Astyanax mexicanus: one gene and its partner. The protein of the gene in region 1 binds, or shares a complex with, the protein of each later gene. Links are inferred from orthologs where the notes say so. Each region holds a gene or a part of one and is shown on either strand. Other genes may lie near its edges. The genes, in order: pth1r and pth1b.

Region 1 (11,140 bases):
GCACTCTGACCAGCATTCAGCCCAGTTCAGCCCCTCCCAACTGCAGAAAAACTTAGATATACTGCATGCACACATTTTTTAATCCCATTTTCACTCATTAAGACTCCCCCTCTATCACTAGAGATGCCCCAACACCAGGAGGGTGAAGACTAGCAGACATTAAGTCAGACTCCGCCTCTTTTCAAAAATTACCAAGTAGCATTACAGCGTTAACGCTCGGAGGAAAGCGCAGCGACTCGGTTCTGATACATCAGCTCACAGACGCAGCCTTGTGCTGATCCACATCACCCTAGGAGTGACGAGGGGGAAGAGAGAGCGCCGTCTACTGTACTGTACCCACCCAGAGAGAGCAAGACCAATTGTGCTCTCTCAGGGCTCTGGCAGCTGATAGCAAGCTACATACATGACCGCTGCATATCGTAGGAAATAGTGCGGATAACTTTAAAAGCAACACAATGTGAACACTGTTTTCAACATTTCTACAAACAATGCTAGAATTTCATGAAATAATGCTTTTAGCTTGTTTCAAAGCATTACACAGATTGTATATATTTATATACTTGTTTAAGAAATAATGCAGATCATTTTGCTTTGTTTAAAATTCCCACAAAAATGTTAGATTTTAAAACAGATTATTTAATAAGTTTCACAAAATAGTGCAGATAAATGTACTAATTTTAGAAACTTAACGCTAATGCTCAGGGAAAAGCGCAGTGACTCGGTTCTGATACATCAGCTCACAGACGCAGCTTTGTGCTGATCCACATCACCCTAGGAGTGATGAGGGGTGCCATCTACCCACCCAGAGAGAGCAAAACCAATAACTGTGCACTCTTGGGGCTCTAGCAGCTGTTGACAAGCTGCATGACCGGGATTCGAACCGGCAATCTTTAGATCATAGTGGCAGAGCTTTAGACCGCTGGACCACTCTGAGTGCTTCAAGCATAACATTAGTGGAGCTGAAACAATAAATCTGATATCAACAAAAATAAAAATGTATGCTAAAATATCAGAAAAAAATTTGAATTCTATCGCACGCATAGTACAGATTAATTTTATACATACTAAACCTAGTTAAACACAGCAATTACAGCAAATGTACATCAAATGTATCCTTTATAAACACTGATATACATCCACAATATACATTCTAATGACATCACACACCGTATCAAAAATTAACACAATATGAACAAATATCAAAAATGTAAATACGGGTTTAATGTATTGATGCAGAAAAGTGGAAAAATAGCCAGTAGAAATTAAGCTAAACCTCAGGATACAATTCTGATCAGTAAACATGCCCTCAAATTCTCACAAATAGAGTTTTTTATTCATAGACTGCATAAAAAAAATCTCCCAGCACGTGAAATCAATTCAAATTTAGTTGATTTACACAATCTAATCTCTCTATTTCTCTACATTTCTATTTCTATTCAGAAAAATAGCTTTATTCGATTAGCAGACTCAATTCACAAATTTCACTAAATAATGACTGTAATTGTGCACGCTTCACAAAATGAGACTTTTATCAGTTCATTTCGTTTTTTGCATTAAAAAAATGGAAATTTTAGAAATTTTAGATGGAGCAAATACATTTTTGTATGTTTAAATATAATTACACTGAAAATCTTTGCATTTCACATAGTAATGGTGATAGTTTGTTTTTCCAAAAATTGTTCAAAACTGTATTTTTCTACAGGTAATGAAGCTCACTTTGTATGTTTAACATATAATGCAAATAAATGTATAAACATTTTAAGAGCCAATAAGGACAAATCTACTAGCTTTAAGAAATAATACAGATAATTCACAAATATATATTTTTATTATGATTCCTGCATTTTACAGGAATTTGCATGATAAATGTTGCGTATTTTAGGAAGTAATGTAGATGACTAAGTTACACAAAGTGAACACCATTGTCAATATTTCATTAAATAAGCTTGTAATGAAATTACACAGGTTACTAAACTTGTTTTAAAACATTACAAAAGTAGGTTAGAAATAATGCAGATCATTTGGTGTTGATTAAAAATCACACAAAACATGTTAAATGTTAACAGATTATTTGTTATAATATGTTTCATAAAATAGCGCAGATAAATTTACTAATTTTAGGAACTAGAACAAAAAGAATTACAGATTTAAGAAATTAGATTGAAGTTTTTGTTTGTTTCAAGAAATTAAACAACATTTTCTTAAGAAATAAAATAAAAAAATCTTAATTTTTTATTTCTCATTTTGCATTATTATTTAAAACATTTTATATGGTTCAAGAAATAGTGCAGATATATTTACTCTTTTTAGGATTTAGCACATACAAATGTACAGATTTAAGGAATTATATGGTTTATTAGTTTATTTTTTGTGTTAAGAAATGACACCAACAGTTTTCAAGAAATGCTATAATTTTCATATTTTAAGAAATATTGCAGAAATATTTCTAGAATGCCAACAGAAATAGATAATTTCTGAAAAATTCTCTGTATTGTTTCTGTATTGATTCTTGAAATAAGTGTTTTTAATTTTAAATCAATATGACCATTTTTCAAAACAATGTTCTTGACAGATGTTCCAGGAAACAACTATCAAGAACATTGTTTTGAGAAATAATCATGCTTAATTATTTGATTTTAAATGAAAAATACTTATTTTAAGAAACAATACAGATACTTTTACTGGATTAAAAAAAATACTCAGCTAAATTAGTTGAATGATCTGCCAGAAATATAAAAAAAGGTTTTCACCTCAATTTACTTATAAAACAAGCTAAAGTCTGATTAGATTCTGTTTTTACTTAAACTAAAGTTTATTATAAATTTTATAGCCACTAACTGAGGGTTAATCTGTTGTGTTTGTTTAGTATAGTGAATGTAGTGTAGAGTATAGTAGAGTATATAGTAGAGGAGCTGCATTAGTGTAGAATACAGGATACTTCAGCCACATCATTAGGACCACACACCATCTCCAGCTTCAGCTTCACGCACGAGGAGATAAAGCCACCAAAACACCAAAAAACGTACACCTGAGTACAGCGCGCGAGACCACTGGGTTCAGCTCTCTGGATCTTAAATGTACAGCAGAGACCCGGAGCATCCTGATCAGAGCACCCCCAAAGACCAGATGCATCCCCGCGCGCTTTTTACGCACGAGCGCCAACAAACTCGCGTGCACAACCTGATGCAAACGTGGAAATGCGTGGTGGAATCAGCGCATAGATAATAAAGATTTAAAGACACTTACCAGCGTGCACATGAAGCTGAGCAGCGAGCTGACGAGCAGGAAGCCCACGCCGTGGCCCACGAGCGCGGAACCCATCCGGACACTCAGGGCGCTCCACAACTTCACTTTTACGCGGAGAGAAGAGCACGAGGACAGGAGAAGTTGATCTCTCTGGTTGATCGAGGCTTGGATAAAGGTGGAGGTCTTCTTCAGCTCCTCCAAAGAAGCCCCTCACCATGCATTTCACTACTGCTCCTCCTCCTCCACGTGCGAGAAGAAACCAAGGAGATGAGATGAGAGCTTTGAGATAGATGGAGGATGGATAGATGGATGATGGCGCTTTGATTCAGCCACTCTTCTACAGTCTACTCTGCTCTCTCTCTTTCTCTTCAGTGTGAGAGTGCCTCTTTCTCTCTCTCACTCTCTTTCTCTCTCGCTCTCTCACCCACTACTCCCCCCTTCCTTGAAATTACATCCACATGTCAGAACTATTTACGTCCTTCAGCTTCTGCGGTAGGAAGTTCAAAATGATCTTCTTTGTGGAGCCAAAAAAACCCAGGCTTTTATTTTTAGGTCCTTTTAAATTACCCTCCCACCTCCCACCAGAGCACCCCCACACTCCCTCCCTTCCTACAGAGGAGAAAAAGAGAGAAAAAGAGAGAGAGCGAAACAGAAAGAGAGACGTGGAGAATATTAATATATATGTGAATGAATGAATGAATGAATGAAAGAGAGAGAAAGGGAAAAAGAGAGAGAGAAGAAATACAAATAAGAAGAATCACATCATCACGATCATCATCTACAAAGCCCCGTCCCTGCTCGTTTCGCTCCAAACCCCCAATTTCCCCAATGTCCCGCTTCCAACACACATCAAACAGAACCTCCGGATCCTAAAGTGCAGTACAGAAAAGTGAACCCACGCTCAAACTGGACCAACAGAACCACTGTCCAACTTCTTCCACGCACCGTTCAGTCCACGCAAAGCCAGCAGCACGAGCCGTGTCCAAAAACGAGCGTCCAGAACTTGCTCCATCCACTGATCCACTTGATCCACTTTACCGGTCAACCGCTCAATCGCTCAATTAGTCAATCGCTCAAGTCCAGAGCTGCGGCGCCGCTCGCGCTCCTTCAAAAACCCCAAACCAGGTGAAACCACGTTGCACGAAGACGCCGTACGTACGGAGGAGTTCCCTCACAAGCTTTTTCAGGTTGCTAGAAGAACGTCCCACGTCCCAGGACTTCATCCAAGCTTTCGTACAAGACACAGTTCCACGCTGAACCCAAGGCAAACCCAAGAAAAACAAGCCAAGCGCTCCTTTCCACAGTCTGTCATTTCTTTCGCTGGAAGTTTTTTTTTTCCGCAGCGTTTCAAAAAAGAAAAGTGTCCCAAAAAAAAGTGCTCCACTCCTCCTCCTCCTCCAGCAACTCCACCACCGCACGCACGCTGCTCCAGGCGGCTGTAGCACCACCTCCAGGGGAAGGCTGGGCATCTGCAGGGGGAAGGATCCGGAGGCGTCAGGGATTCCTCCGCTCAGCCTTGCCTCTCTCCATTTCCCACCCGCTTTCCGCCAGGCCACGCCCCCATCCCCTCAGCGATTGGCTACTAGACCACCCTCGTCAGCGCAAGAGGTGGGACCCCTCCAGCCAATCACAGTACAGCAGCCTGGACACTACTAACCAATCAAAGTGCTAGAGTCGAAAAGCTGGGCGTGGCCTGCCCGAGCAGCCAAAAGACTGTTCAATTCACATCTTCAGAAACATGCAGTGCAGATTAAAACCAAACAAACTAATATTAACAAAGCTTCAAAACTTATAATTATAATATTATGACCACCTATCACCTTGTTTCTAACTCAACTGATCATATATACCACACACTGTAGTTCTATAACTATAATTACAGATTTAATCACATAAATACAGAACCAGTCAAAAGTCTGGACACATCTTCTTATTTAGTGTTTTTCTTTATTTCTTTATTTAATGTATTTTCTACAATGTATATTAATATTAAAGACATGAAAACAATTAAGGCACACATATGGAATTACACAATAAACAATAAAAAAAAAAAAAAAGCTTTCCAAAAAGTGTAATAATTCACAGTTAATTTATAAGGGGGTTAAACACTTTTTTCACAATGGGCTCAATTGGTTTGGATAGTTTGTTTCCTTTAATAAATAAAATTATAATTTTAAAAAGGGCTTTTTATATTTACTCAGGTTATTAACGTTAGATATAAAAGTTTGTTTGATAGTATAAAAAAATGAAGTATAACAAAAATGCAAAAATATAAGAAATCTGTAAGGGTCCAAATACTTTTTCACTCCACTGTATATATACAGAAAGAAATTATAAGATATGACTGTATGGATATATTTCATTTAGCAATTTAAAATGAATTTATGAATTTTCTAAGCTTTGGGAAAGATGGGAAATGAGAGATATTTTTTTCAATGTTTTTATTTACTTATTTGATTTATTTTAAATGTGAATCAACAGGAGAGGTTTTAAACATACAATATTATTAACTAAAACTGCATTGTTGCTATTAGGTAAAATACTATCTGATAATTTTTTTATGAATGTACATTCTAGATAATTAAATTAGATAATTTTTCAAAAAACTTAAAGTAAATTTCTTTAGCTTTGGGAAAAATAATTGACATTTTGAACAGTTTCTGCCTGAAAACAGGTGGGAAAAGTAAAAAAATCCATCCATTCCACCCAATACCAGCACAACACTCCAGCACAATCTGCCCATTCAGAGCCGACCGGCTTTATGTTGGCAAAACGCTCCATTCTCAGCAGCGCGCAGCGACACCATGCCACGCAACCAATAAAATTATGTAAATACAATGCTGGGGCACATTTACGCTGGCGTTTTTCACGTGCGCTCATGAAATAACTCATTCAGCGCCGCCGTGTTTACCTACACATCTTCACTTGCGGTGCAAATCTCTGAGGTCCACTTCTAATGGCCAGTTTCACCAGTTTAACACACTTTTTCTCCACGCGCCATATTTGTTTTTCCTGGTTCTCCGAATCGCGGCAGCTCTTCATTCATACCCGAGCTGAAAAAAATAATGAGCGCTCATGCAAATGTGTAATAATTTGTGCAATAATTTCATTTACACTTGCATGTTCTGCCAGTTTCAACAGTGGGTCGCTGGAAGTCGGGTGCAGATTTTTGGGTCTGTTGGTTCAGTTTTATGTGTTGACCGGATCTGATGCCGTCAAATCTGTTTTCCGACGTCAATCGCAGCCGGTTTCATCATGATACAACCGACCAAACATGCTGGAAAACGACCAGCGGCCAAAACTCTCCTGCAGGGACTCGTTACGCCGGGCTGGGTCTGTTTGCTTTTTGAGAGCGATGACAGAACGCTAGTTATGGGTTACAAGAAACAATTTGCAATTCTGCTGAGAGAAACCATTTTCTGAGGATGTTGATTATGTTGGAAAAAAATGTATTCAGTTTGAGTTTTAGCATTTTGGACATTTAACAGTGTCTAAACGCTCCATAAGCTTTGGAAAGGGTGTGTCTTACACCTGGAACTTTTAGCACACTGAAGCTGGTCCTGGTGAACTCTTTAGCCAGGACTGAGTGGTTCTAAGCATGCACGGTTAGCACGGGTGCATTTGGGGCCAAAAAACGTTCAGTGGAAGGACTTAAAGATTGACTATTGGCCATAGCGAATTTGGTTGAGTCCATAGACTGTGTATAGCTGGACAGAGCATCGTCTCTCAAAAGTGAAGCCACCACAGGTCGGGCGCCCCCTGCTGTTCGGTTGCAGAAAGCTGCGTAACCCCACCCATCCCCATAGGTTTCAATGGCAAAACAGAACAACTTTCAATCACGTTTTTTTCCCCAATATACTGTAATTCTACCTCCATTATTTAAATGCAGCAGCTAGTGTAACCTCTGCTTATATTGTTACATTTTTATATCTACACAGAATTCGTATTTTAAAACGTTTTTCAGCTCTGTTCAAAAAGGTGTGGTTATTGGTGTGTAAAAGGGCTGGTTTACACCTAGCAGGGGTGGGACCAATGACTGTATGGGCGGGACCATAGACTGTGTGAGCTCTGTGGAGGCAGCCCTCAGGGGCGGGGTTATTTAAATGAGTAGGCTGTCTCTCCACAGTCTTTCTCCCTCCTCTGGTCTCTACTGCGCTCTACAGACTCGGGTTTCAGGATCGCCAACATGGCGGAAGATTTTGGCTTCATTTTCATTGAATGAATGGAAATGGGGCCACACGGCATCCATCTTTTTTACAGTCTCTGGTTGAGTCCAATTACCAGCATGCCAACTCTGCGTTTTCATTTTTGGATGAGCTTGTTAGCCACCAATCTACTTCTTGGGGAAAGTGGTGGGAAATCTCAAGGTTCACAGTTGACTCTAAACTTCTCCTATTATGCAGGAGAGTTTAGGAAGCTGAATCCAGCACATCCTCAGGCCTCCATGCCTGGGTTTGGAGAGCTTCAGGCGGACGCTGAGCCTGTAATGCTGCTGTTCCAGCAGCTGCAGGATCTTACTGAGAGCTGGAGGTGGTGTTAAACACTGAGAGGATGCATAAACACACAAACATCCTATACCAACAAGACTGTGCACATTATAATAGTGCACAACACTGAGGAGAGCATGCTATTGTAGTCAAAAACAATGAACTTGAGGATTCAGTTTACTATCTTGTCCTTTACAAACTGAGAAATGATAATTTCCTAATATATTCAGCTCCTAATCGTGTGATTAATCTCTGTTCTAACAGTCAATTATCAGCTTTGGTTAATTAGCTAATACCACATGTAGAGTGGTGCACAGCTCAAGTGATTACCACTGATCTCTATGGTTTATCAGGTGGTTCCATTTTCATTTTAGTTTCACTGATAGCTGTTGTTTTGTACTATAATGAACAGTGTTTACATGCAACATTTTAGATAGATAGGTCGATAGATAGATAGATAGATAGATAGATAGATAGATAGATAGATAGATAGATAGATAGATAGATAGATAGATAGATAGATAGATAGATAGATCTGTTCGAGCAGCTCATTTTCCTCTGTTAAGAAGAGTTTGTTGGACACGTCCAGGTAGCTGCACCGTTAAAATAGCAATCTGCCAAAGTCAGAGCTCACCTGACTCTTAAAGAGAATGATGAGCAAGAGACACACTGATTAGTTAGTTTCACGTCATGATCAAAATTAAGAGAATTAGTACATGCCTTTTGAACGTTTCGAGTCATGCCCAAAAAGTGTACTTTTCTCAACGTTATGATAGCAAAGAAACACTGACTCCCAAACCCAAGTCAAGCTGCATGGTGCATAATTAACACCTCACCTATAGATCATTAATATAGGGCCCTGTAGTCAACCAAAATGTAAAATGGGCCAGATAAGATTATAGGTTTATAGTTCTTTACATTTTTACAGCCAATCACAATAAGTACTTTTACATTGTAGCAGTAGTTTTGATTGGTCTGAGGACAACATAGCAATTTTACTGGCCCATCTTACCTGCACATTTTGTTATAGATCAGAAGAGAACGTACTGATAAAACAATTATACTTTTTTACATTTTTGAGAGTAATATTTATTAAAGCAACTCTTAAGTCTTTACATTTCTTGCACTGTCAAAATAGCAATCCGCCAAAGTCAGAGCTTACCTGACTCTTAAAGGGGGTTTAATGAACAAGTGACACTCTGATTATGCTGTTTTTTTCACACATCCATAAATAATTAAGAGCATTAGTACATGCCTTTTGAGCATTTGGAGTCGTGTCCAAAAGGTGTACTTTTCTCGACGTTATGATAGCAAAGACACACTGAATCCCAAACCCAAATCAAGCTACATGTTGTGTAATTAACAGCTCGCCTATAGATCACTGAAATAGAGCCCTGTAATCAACCATAATATAAAATGGGCCAGATAAGATTACAGGTTTATAGTTCTTTATAGTTTTTTTCATCATTTTTAAAGCCAATCACAATAAGTACTTTCGCATTGTAGCAATAGTTTTGATTGATCTGAGGGTGGGGACAACACTGTATTGTAGATCAGAAGGGATCAGAACTGATGATACTCTAACTCTCAAAATTATAAAACTATTGTACATTTTTGGCTCATTATATCTGACTCCACCCTACAGTCAATTCAGCAGTTTTGAGGAATACCTGTTGCTGTCACTTAGCAATTAGCCTGGATAATTGAACAGGATGCTTTAAAGCTCTGGTGAAAAGTTTGTGGTGGCCACGCCCAGCGTAAAGCACGGGCTAGAGGGGTAAAAAAAACCCTCAGACATTGGGCTGATGGGGCTCCATCCAATACCTTGGGAATGAGTTGAAGTGACAAAACTAATCTCCCACCATCAGAACCTGACACAGCTTAAGCTCTAGTGGCTGAATGCAATTAAATCCTGACAGAAATGTTCGAGTGTGAAGATCTCCCAGATGAGTAGAGGCTGTTATGCAGCAAAGGGGTAAAAAACTCTCTATTAAAAAGCCCTTAATTTAGCATCCAGAGGAACTGAAACTTTGGAAGTAAGCCAAAGGAGGTCTAGCACCTCTACTGGAAGTTTGGAGGTAGAGTCACCTGGAATTCAGGCTTTCAGTTAACAGCTGTGCTGAACTCATCAAGAGTTAATTACTTGAATTTCTTGCCTCTTAATAAAGTGTTTGAGAGCATCAGCTCCCTGGTAAAAACTTAATAAAACTTAATTATATACTTAAAATATATCGAGAAGCAGATTTATGTACTTACTTAAAATATATGAAATGTATATTAAATTAAAAGTACATTAATATTAAGCTTTCATCAAATGTTTAAAAGTATACACACTTTTAGTTTAATGTAATTCAGTATACTTCTCAAATATTTATTTCCAAATATACTTTTGTACATTTTTAGCAAAGTGTGTTAAAAACAGCTGTTACAGTAGTTCACTTACAAGTACAATGTATCATGTAACTTCTTTAGAAAGCTAATTAAATTACTACTACTAATTAAAAAAAAAATAAGTAAATTTGTAACACACAAGAAATTGTAGTACAGTATATTAAAATATATTTTTATACTTTATATTTAGAAGTGTGCTTCTTACAAAAAACAGGAACATATTTGAAGCATATTTGTACTCTAATGTAAATAGATTACATATATTTAACATCAATTCTTAGTACATTTCTAATGTAACTGGTGTATAATAAATAGTGATACAGTTGTAAAACCCATTATTAAATATATTATAGTTTTACTGTAAGCATATTTAAAATATATGGGGTTACATACATGAAGTAGGTTAAATGTTTAAATGTTACTTTTAAAAGTATATTTAAAATAGCTCCATTTTAGTACAGTTAAGTTCACTTAACATTTTAAGTAAGACTTTCGTACTATTTTTATAAAATTAAAGTTTAATAAATAATAAAAAAAGTTGTTCCATTTTATCACTCTTTAAATATACTGATTAATAATAATGTGGCTACAAGAACACTTTAGTGCACTATAGCATAATAATAATGTTCTAATCCAGATTATGAGAAGCAAGTGCAAAGGATCCTCAAGTGCAGTCACCACAAAGACCATCAAAAACTTTAAGATGAAACTGGCACTCATCTGGACCGCCCCCGGGAAAGAGCAAGAGATCCTCTGTTGCACAGGATGTTATGTATATTTCGTCGCTGTCCAATAAAAACAATAAAAACATCTCATTTTTCGTCACATTTTGTCAATTTTTAGTTTACTACATAATTTAAACAGTGCCAGAAATTTCTTGATGAACGGATTAATAGAAATTACCTGATTTATTTTTTTTTACATTGACTTCCATTGAAAATTTAGAAGGTATTTCCTCTCTACTGTAAAGTTGATGTTTTTTTTTTGTGGAGATAGTTGTGTTTCACTAGACAGCG
Region 2 (10,214 bases), on another chromosome or scaffold:
TAGTTTACACATGTAAACACTTCTGAAACTAGACTTTAAATCCCACAGGACTTTCATGAGTGCAGGACTCAACTGAAGAACCCAGTCTGACTGTCCTCACAGTAAAGTAAGCTCCTTTAATCAGTAAAACTTGTGTTTACTTTTTGTTTACTTTGTGTTGACTTTAACCTACTGTTTTTAAACATATTAGGATACATGTGGACGAGCCTGAACAAATACCTCATATTTGGGAAGCTTTTATTCTGCATGAATTTTAATTATACATTATATGTTACAGGTTTTAGACCCAAAATCTTCGCAAAACTATGATAAATCAGTGTCTCAGATATCAGGCAGTGTATTCATAACTATTTGGTGTAATAGCACTTTCTGTGAGGGAGCTTGTAGAGGTTCTGAAGTCTAGAATTATGCGCTTAAAACTTCCTTTGTATTATATTTTTTGTCACTAAACAATGATTTTTTCTAACTAATACATTACATTTTGGCTGTAACAACAATGATTATAGATTCTAAAGTCTAGGCATGATTACAAGCCATCAAACCAAGCTGAACTGCTTGCATTTTTGCACCTGGAGTAAAGGCATAAAGTTATCCAGAAGCAGTGTGTAAGACTGGTGGAGGAGAACATGCCAAGATGCATTAAAACTCTTATTAAAAAACAGGGCTATTCCACCAAATATTGATTTCTGAACTTTTATAACTCTATGAATATGAACTTGTTTTCTTTGCATTATTTGATGTCTGAAAGCTCTGCATCTTTTTTGTTATGTCAGCCATTTTTCATTTTCTGCAAATAAATGCTCTAAATGACAATATTTTTATTTGGAATTTGGGAGAAATGTTGTTGGTAGTTTATAGAATAAAACAAACATTATACCTATAAATAGTAAAATCAGAGAAACTGATTTATAAGCTGGTCTCCTTTTTTCCAGAGCTGTATATATATATATATATATATATATATATATATATATATATATATATATATATATATATATGTATATATATGTATATATATATATATATATATATATATATATATATATATATATATATATATCTTGATTATAATAATCAGCACCAAAATGTTTTTTTTATTTACGCTTCTACATCAAATGCAAAAAATTCCAAAAAAAGCCTTTAGCCAAAATACTATTCTGGGCCAGTTTACTGTATGAAATATATTTTCCAGAAATATTTCAGTTTTAACAGACTCCAAACAGATTTATTTAGTTGAATATCTTTTTAGTTTAATATAAAGCAATTACTTCCTTAATCTAGTTGTTATGTGTGGGTGGGGCTGACACTTTCCAATTTAAAAGAATTAAGCATCTCGCTTATATGGAGGAGAAGCCAACATCATAATCTTTGTCTTTAGTAAGAAATACAATGTCAGGTTTTATTCCAAATAAGGCCAGAAGTGGATGTAGATATAGTCACTATCAGACCTAAAGATGCTCTTCCACAACTCTGCCAGATTAGAACATGACTACAACATATGTGCGCAGGTGGCTGATGTTTTCTTTTTTTCTGTTACATGCTACATTTAAGTTTTTTAATTTTGGGAATGTTTTAAGCTTTTAACGTTTCTATAATGTTAAGTTCTATTTGGGAATGTTATGTGTGAAACTATCTAACGTGATGCAAACCATTAACCATCATGTCCCATGTTTTCAGAATGTTCCTGGAACATTATTTCTGTTACAGGCTGTTAGCTGGGTTTCCCTACAGTAAAATATGTATAGCATTTTCCCAATTATAATTTTTTTCCTCTTCCCCTCATATAAATCTCAGATTTTCTCCTCCAAGCTTAACCTTAACTCAACCTACCTTTGTGTTGAAAGATGCCAAAAAAGATACCCATATTTTATACCCATATTTTAAAAGATAACCATATTTTCTATGTTCCAGTATTTCAGATTGTAAGGGTGAACACTGTATGAAAAACTAACAAATTGGGAAAATAAAAAAAAACAAACTATAAAAGCTATGATTTAATGACATTTTATACTTAATTTTCTATTTTTGCCTTTAGTTTCTGACAGTTGGAAAACTGAACTGGCAAACTTTGACACACTGACCAGAAGCCTGGCTCTTTTTTATTTTTTGTCAGAATTAGGCTGAAAAAATAAAAATTAAAAATAAATGTAAATACATTTTGTAGAAAGTGAAATGTACAACAACCAACAGCCAGAAATGTCTGGCACTTTATATTTTATGTAAACATAATCTTTCTTTATTTTACTGTTATTTTATATATATTTTTTAAAAACAGCACCGTGTTGTTCATGTTGTGGACCTTGTTTCTCAGTATTGTGGTATTTCACATTCGTCACAGTGGGGTCCTTGCCATACAGTATCTCATGTAAATAACCAGAGCATATTGTTTGGTTATTTTGTTTTCATTCTTTCTTTAATTGTTGAATATAAAAAATAAATAAATAAATAAATAAATAAGAATTTTAACAACCTTACTTTTCACCTGAATTAGGCTATATAACAGTGCTGCAACACAAACTGAGACTGTTATGTAAACTTCTATTCACCCACACAAACACAAGCCGTAGCCGTAGCTGTAGCCGTGTCCTTCACATGTCCTAACTGGTTTTAACTTTTAACCAGTTCATTTTAACAAATAATTCTACACAGATTCATTTATATATCAAACAGTCAGAAAGTCAAATAAATTAAAATAATAAATTAAAGTATGAAAATAAATAAAAACAATTGTGATTCAGTGCACTTCTGCAAAGGAGCCGTAGTTTTATGCCTGCACAGAAACAGGGCAGGGGCTATATCTCTGTGAGGACACTAAACATTTAGAGTGAAAACACTTTCTTTTCTTTAAAAGTTCATTTTGTCTCATACAAAAGACCGAACTCGAAGACGAGGCCTCAGGGTTCGCTCACGATCCAGACTGGATTTTCCCAGACAGTGAAATATCTGTAACAATAGTCCTGATTTTTGCCTTTTGTCCTTTCTGTGAGTCGTTGACGGAGGGGATAAGGATCGACTTCAGCTTCACCTGAAGCCAGTCCTGTCTCTCCAGCACCTGTTTGCGTTCTCCAACATTGTGCATGAGCTGGACTTCACTGATGGACCTTTTGCTGTGGACAGATTAGCAGTGGTCACTTTTACTGTCACCAGTAACAAGCAATATATATATATATATATATATATATATGGTATATACACTCTGTTAACAATCACTATAATGCTTTATATGGCATTCTTTGTTCATAAATTACAGCATATTACTGTATTTTGCAGTTTTACTCTTGCAGCATGAAAACTAAACAATATTGTATACAGTTACTACTGCAGTTACTACATTTTTGTATGTAGCTTAGGTTATTTAATATATTTTTAATAGTTTCAAAGTATTGTAGACAGTTTTTTTTACTGTCATTTAACATAATTTTAAGAAAAATATTACTTTAGTTACAAGTAAAAGATTGTACTGCAGTCTTAAACTATAAACATACTAATGATTTTATTGTAGATATATTAGATTATGATCTTGTTTTTTTAGAGTTATTACTCATATTTTTTAGGTCTTATAAAATACAGTAAAATAATTACAATGCTGTACTGTTAATTTCAATCAATTTCTGACCAATTTAATACATTTCTATTGTACAATAACATTATTTTTAGTACAATGTAAATATACAAGATTATACTAGTAACGTTGCAAAATTACAAAGATTCTTATATTTTTAGTAATTTAAGTGTATTACATTTACTGTTAAACTAAATGTAATTGTATTGTGAATCATATTCGGCCCTCACCTGATTGGTGATCCCTCCAAATGAAGCAAACATAAGCTCCACAGTAAAACCAGTAAAACCATTTTGTGCATGGCGCTCATAGAAGATATTTTATCAGCTGTAAAACAAAGAATATAAAGATTATTAAACAATAGTGGCAGAACATTTTGAAATGTCCAAATTTCAATTTCCAGAAAACATTTGTAAATTGAAATAAAAAAAATGTTTAAAAAAACTTACACAGCTGTGGTTTATAGTTTGTAGGTGTAATTTACAGGGCCACTCCATGTGTTGGTCAGCGGTGTGTTCGTGCTGGTGGTCACTGTCCCTGTCTTTTTATGCCTGAGTGCCCTCCCCTCTGCCATTGATGAGCGATCCCGATATTTGATGGTGATGTCACCCTGTGCTTTGATGAGGACAGGCATGTAGATGGCGACACCTCCACTGACCCCACCACCACCCACCACTTCTGTTTTCAACACCTCTGCCCTGATTTCTTGTGATCAGAGCGTTGGTGAGCTTATGTCATGTACGGACGGCTGTGCGAAGTCTCATTTACTGGAAGCCTGAAGAGCGTCTCTGAGAAACCACCAGCGGGATGATCTGAATTATTACCTGTGAGAAATTAAAGTTGAAACTCAAGTGAAGCTTTTTTTTCTTTTATTGCAACTTTTTAGGAGCTTTAGGATAAGAAAAGTACATTTCAAATGACAGAAAGTGGCCAAAAACTGAAACACAAAAAATCTGTAGTTTATTTCATTTATTTTGTGATTTCCAGCTAAATTTGATACATTTGTTTTTTTTTATTCCATGGCAGTATAAAATCAATAAAAATAATAATAATACTCAGTAAGGGAAGCCCAATTCCATTTGATCCTCTTGTATTCTTCAATTCTACATAATGTAGACATTATTTATTTAGAAAACATTTATTTAGAAAATATATTACTATAATTACTAGAAGCTTTACTATTTATCTAAAAAATGCATAAATTCACAATATAATATATATATATATAGATAACCACACTTTAAGAACTGTTTTCTGTTTGTTTACTGTAACTTTAACTAATTTACTCCAGCCAATAATCATGTAGCAATCATTTATTTCATTTTAGGAATTTCTTTCCAATTATTTTTGTGAGAAAACAGAAATTCATCAGAAATTAAAAAAAAAAAAAATAAAATATTTTTTTAAGGCTAAAATGTGCTTAATTTAGGTGTACATTTCCTAATTCATTAAGGCACATATAATAAAAATCAATAAATAATTTACAATATAAAAGAAAATAACAGATTTCCTCCAAAAGGCAGAAATGTTTAGTATATGGCTATTCGTTATTTGTAAAGGCTCAGTTATCCAGGTCAAATGGAGAAAATCGTCTCCTGCTCTTTGCACAATGCCTCGGCTGGCCAAAACAAGGCCTTACCTGGTGCTTTGCATGATCTATGGTGAGCTATGAGAAGTGGACAACCTTGTCATACTCACAAGGGACACATTGAGTAACCATGAGAGAAGTTTTCTAAATGTGGCTGAGGAATGACTATGTCATGACACAAGTAGTAAGTCCCAGAAAGAATTCGAAACGATGTGCAGCGCAACAAATCTCTCCTGTAGTAATGAAAGTCTCTGAGCTCGGGTCGGGAGGCCGGGCCGCGGGGCCGCCGGGCTCCCGTTTCACAATACTGCATGTTCCCTTTCTGCCCATTAATTTTTCGAACAGGGATCTCCTAAATCAGCGAAGGAGAGTTTATATATTGAGGTCGAGCGGACTCCGCCCACACGGACGGCACGGCATAGCGCATAGGCAGGAATCGTTCAGACAATGCTCAGGATCTCTTTCTCAAAGGCCAAAGGTTGATTTGTGTGATGCGTGTCATGCAGAAGCATTGTGGTAGGTGTCTGTGGATGCCTTCGCCTGCTGTAATAATAGCAGCTTAGCTCATGTGTGGTCAGCATGACGTTGTGGTGCTTGAATGTTTTTTATTTTTATTATTTGTTTAGTTCATTTTGAGTCATAAGTCTAAAAATGAGAGTACAATAGCTGAGTAAAGACACAAGCTCTGGGCCTTTAACTGATACTGGATATCACACTTAGAATCAGATGTGTGTATTATGTTATATAATATGTTATATTATGTTTATATAATATACCGTGCAATGGTTTGGGTCATAGTTTTCTGTTATGCTTTTAACAAGCAGTACGAACCACATACAGCTATCCCGTTTTGAAGGTTGTACACTGTGGATTGATTTGAAGATGCATTTAATTGCCAAAAATAAAATATAAAAAAATAAATGTACTAAGTAGAAGTATAGTAGGATATTATTTGATGATCTTGGAATATCCAGTGATAAATATTGTCTAGGGTTTTTTGCAATATCTGCATATACGGCCCTATGTTTCACCACGCCAACAGTCTATTTTCATGCCTTGTGTCTGAACTGTGACGTGCAGCCCCAGTCTGTCCCAGCTGGCCCGCATTGGACCAGCATAAATAACCTTTCTGAGGCAACACAAACCTAAGTGACACTAAAGTTCAGCTACTAGAGCTGCACTGGGCCATGACTATGTTCCTTTAAGTTTGTTTTGGGTGTTGATGGAGGGCATTTTTCCTAATTAAGGTACGTTTTGAGTTCATTCACTTCCTGTGTCTGTGTCTCCCTGTGCTTCAGTCTGTGCCACAGTCACAATATATGTAAATGCAATTTGTAAGTGCAAACACAATAGACTTTTATTGAACGATAAGTCGATAGTGTAAATATTGTGACAGGCCTACTTGTGTCTGCATAATTTAAATAGCAGCGGTGCTTCTGAATATATCTACGCTGTTGGGTGAAGCAGTTTCAAAATGAGGTGTGTTCAGGTCATAGCATAGTTCTAGCATATTGCTGCTATAAGGTGCTCCACTGACTGAAATTAACCTAGACAGATGTCAACAGTCAGAGGTTTATTGCTATCTTGTCAACGCTTGTTACACACACACATGGACATGCAGTAGTGCACAAACCCGACATTTACATCAACAATAAACAGAAAACTAAATATAAAAACATTGCTGTTCCAGTAAGTGACCTGCTTGCACACCTTAACAGCGTGAACTACCAGGTCAGTATTCTCTGCTGAGAAGCACAGAAACGCTGCGCCGTTGAAATAGAAATCTGCCAAAGTCAGAGCATACCTGACTCTTAAAGAAGAACTCCTGTGTAAAATTTACTTTTAATGTAGTAAAATATGATAAAGAGTACTAACCTTTGTAGAATAGCCCACCTCTGCTCTCCTGCAGCTTTCTGAGATCCAGTAATTTTTTACAGTTTGTCCAAACATGCTTTAGAATGAGTTAGATGGGGCATGTTTTGCCCCTGCAGATAAATCACTTTTTACGCCGTTATCCAGCTCAAAGTAGCTCCACACCTTGTTAGTAGATCTGGAGAGCCCTGACATTTAAAACAAGGCATTAATAACTTTAAAACTGCACAAGAAGCTTATTAAAAAAAGACTGTTTACCTTTACTTTAAGATGGCGGCACCTGAAGATTAGTTTACACTACGGAGTTTCAGAATTCTCCTATAAAGGGAACGGCTGATTGGTTTATTTCACATTATACCCAAAACACACCCATGATAAAATAGGATAGCAAAGACACGTGGACATGCAAAACGTGGTTATTTTGCACCGCAATCTGATCCGAGTCTCATAATGCTGAGTTTTAGCAAATTAAAATAGCCAATATTCTATTAAAATCCTAAATCACCAAGTAACCATGATGTACACAAGAAATACACAAGTAACAGCCAACGAACCACATGAGATACCAATCCAACCACTTTACAACAACCACCATAGCTGCTTTTTTTACAATTACTTTCAATGGTGGAACTCTATTAAGCTACATATCCTTTATGAAATGCACTTTTGTAGTTTATATGTGTTTTTTAATGCCTTTTTTATTGTACATGTATTTTATATTTATTTTGAGTCATTTTATTAAAGAGCTTACTCTGCTTAAAACAAGTTTTTTATTTATTTAATAAATGTCTGGAAATGTGTTGAATAATCTTAAATATTTACAATTTCGTAATGTATTGTAAGAATGTTTTAAGATTATTTCATTGCCAAGGCAGGACATTTCACAGGATAATAAATCTTACTTTAGCTTTCTTTTAAAATGAGGAATGAAGCATTTACCCTTTGCCCTGCTACTGAACTCTGGAGCTTTAATATGGAATTCAGATTTCACATGTAAACAGCTCCGTCCTCGTGCCCAAAGCTGTCCTTGCAACAGAGAACTGCACTGTGCATCGCGGCCTGCGGCACACGTGGAGTCGACCCGGCCAGAGCTGTTCTCATTACCTCATGAGGGTACAATGCCTGTCATCCCACTAATGGCATGTCGCTGCAGCAGTGTGCACAGGCACTTGGCAGGGATTAAGGTGAAGAATTGCTTACAAACCATTAACTGGGGGTCAACCCACCGTGCTGCAATGCTAGCTACGCTGCATTAAAACCACACAGGTCTCCCTCTAATTATATAACGATGAAGCAGAAATATAGAAAATTAGTCTATTTATAACTTCTTCTTTTGAATAAGCAAGTGTGTGCTTTTAATATCAGCAAAAGAACTATTTTTATGTGCAGGAATTTAAAGAATGCACATGTGAGAATCAGCCTCCCACACACTTCAGCAGTTCTCTGCGATGCATTAATATTGCATGAGTGGAGATTAAACAGATTGTACTGCAGCTCCCTAAAGGCCTGAAAGTATAAATCTGAGTCAGTGCTGCATGTAAACCTACAGTCAGGGCAACAGTATTTTTCAGCTGTTTACGGACACGCCTTTTAATGTATGAATTCAGCTGTTTTAAGTTGTACCTATTGTTGACAGACTTGTCCAAATGCACACACACACAACTTATATATCCCCTGTAGAGAAGAACTGTTCACTGAATAGCATTGGGGTCAGGGATGAGGTGGGGAGTGGTGGATAAGTTAGGGATTAATAAGGAAGCTAGGGATCAGTTGTGGATGAATTAGGAAGCTAGGAATAAGTTGTGAATGAGTTGAGGAGCTAGGTATAAGTGAGGAAATTGTGGATGTGTTGAGGAGCTGGGGATGAGTTGTGGATGAGTTGGGGAGCTGGGTATGAGTTAGGAAATTGGGGATGAGTTGGGGAGCTAGGGATACGTTGCAAAGTTGGAGATGAGTTAGAAATTTAGGGATGAGTGTTAGATGAGTTAGGGAGGTGGGGATGAGTTGTGGATGAGTTGGGGAGTTGGGTATCGGTTAGGGAGGTGGGGATGTGTTGGGGAGTTAGGGAAGAGTAGAACAGTTGTGGATTAGTTGCAGAGTTAGGAATGAGTTGAGGAGCTAGGGATGAGTTAGGGAATTAGGGAGCTGAGTATGAGTGAGGGAGGTGGGGATGAGTTGTGGATGAGTTTGGAAGCTGGGGGTGAGTTAGGTAGTTTGGGAAATATAAGGGAGCTGGGATAGGGAGGTGGAGATGTGTTGTGGATGAGTTGGTGAGCTGCATATGAGTTGTGAAAGAATAAGGGAACTGAATATGAGTTGGGCATTAGTTAAGAATTTGGGGATGAGTTTTCGATTAGTTAAGCATTTAGGAGTGATTTGGGGATGATTTTAAGTTGGTAAGTTAGGGATGAGTTACAGATGAGTTAGGAATAAGTTAGGGAGTTAAGAATGAGTTTGTTAATTAGGGATGAGTTGTACATGTAAAGCAACTCCAGATCCAAACCTGTACCATGTCTGGTACCTGTGTGAATGAGCTACTGAGGTCGGAGTTTCCCCTTCTGAAGTCTCCATTGCTCCACCAGCCACTCGCATTCAGTAAAACTGAGTCGGATCCTCTTTTGGAGGCTGTACATGTGACATAAGTATGTAAAGACAGAAGAAGAACTCTCGCTAAAAGTGACCCGACACCCCACTTTTTAGAATGAATATATTGGACTTAGCAGGGATGGTCGGTATGTTCAGTACACTTGTACCATTAAACACTATATTTTATCCATATTCTTCTCCATTCAGAAATGCTTCTGCTTTCAGCTTAGAAAATAAATAATACCGACTACCACTTTAAAATTAGCTGTTGTGATATTGTTAAACATGTGATATTGAAAACAGAATTCTTTTGCCTCAGTTCCTCAATGACAATTCTTCAATTCCAGCTCTGGGTGACTGTGCTGTGCTACACCAATAAGAGTTCAAACTGAATATATTTCCATCCTTTTTAAAAGGCCTAAATAATGTAAAATTCACTTTGCAGGAAATATACCTGTAGTGTATTTAGTAACTCCACTAGAGGGCAGCAGAGTGATACATTTTGATAATTGATTCGGTTCAGAAAATTCGATTCAGTTTAAATGAAGACATTTATCTTAATGTAGAAGCTCTGACATCTAAAGTTACGCTGTACTGTTATAATGA

The links.
Region 2: the proteins of pth1r (region 1) and pth1b are in contact, whole or in part, in a cryo-EM structure (PDB 9JR3), measured with the Homo sapiens proteins. The link is inferred for Astyanax mexicanus from reciprocal best matches to the Homo sapiens genes PTH1R and PTH. Residues at the interface, in NP_000307.1 of Homo sapiens: Val31, Met32, Thr33, Lys34, Glu35, Gln37, Ile38, Leu41, Glu111, Trp112, Asp113, His114, Ile115, Ile135, Tyr136, Asp137, Phe138, Arg146, Arg162, Thr163, Ala165, Tyr167, Val171, Leu174, Thr175, Glu177, Glu180, Arg181, Phe184, Leu187; in NP_000306.1 of Homo sapiens: Ser32, Val33, Ser34, Glu35, Ile36, Gln37, Leu38, Met39, His40, Asn41, Leu42, Gly43, Lys44, His45, Leu46, Asn47, Glu50, Arg51, Val52, Glu53, Trp54, Leu55, Arg56, Lys58, Leu59, Asp61, Val62, His63, Asn64, Phe65.

What each region holds. Positions count from the first base shown.
Region 1 is NC_064415.1:3,569,249-3,580,388, reverse strand, and holds the start of pth1r (parathyroid hormone/parathyroid hormone-related peptide receptor), read right to left. Parts: upstream 4,726-11,140; 5' UTR 3,322-4,725; coding exon 3,247-3,321; intron 1-3,246.
Region 2 is NC_064423.1:35,370,502-35,380,715, forward strand, and holds pth1b (parathyroid hormone 1b), read right to left. Parts: upstream 3,930-10,214; 5' UTR 3,873-3,929; coding exon 3,793-3,872; intron 3,108-3,792; coding exon 2,906-3,107; 3' UTR 2,476-2,905; downstream 1-2,475. UniProt on the Homo sapiens protein: Parathyroid hormone elevates calcium level by dissolving the salts in bone and preventing their renal excretion. Acts by binding to its receptor, PTH1R, activating G protein-coupled receptor signaling.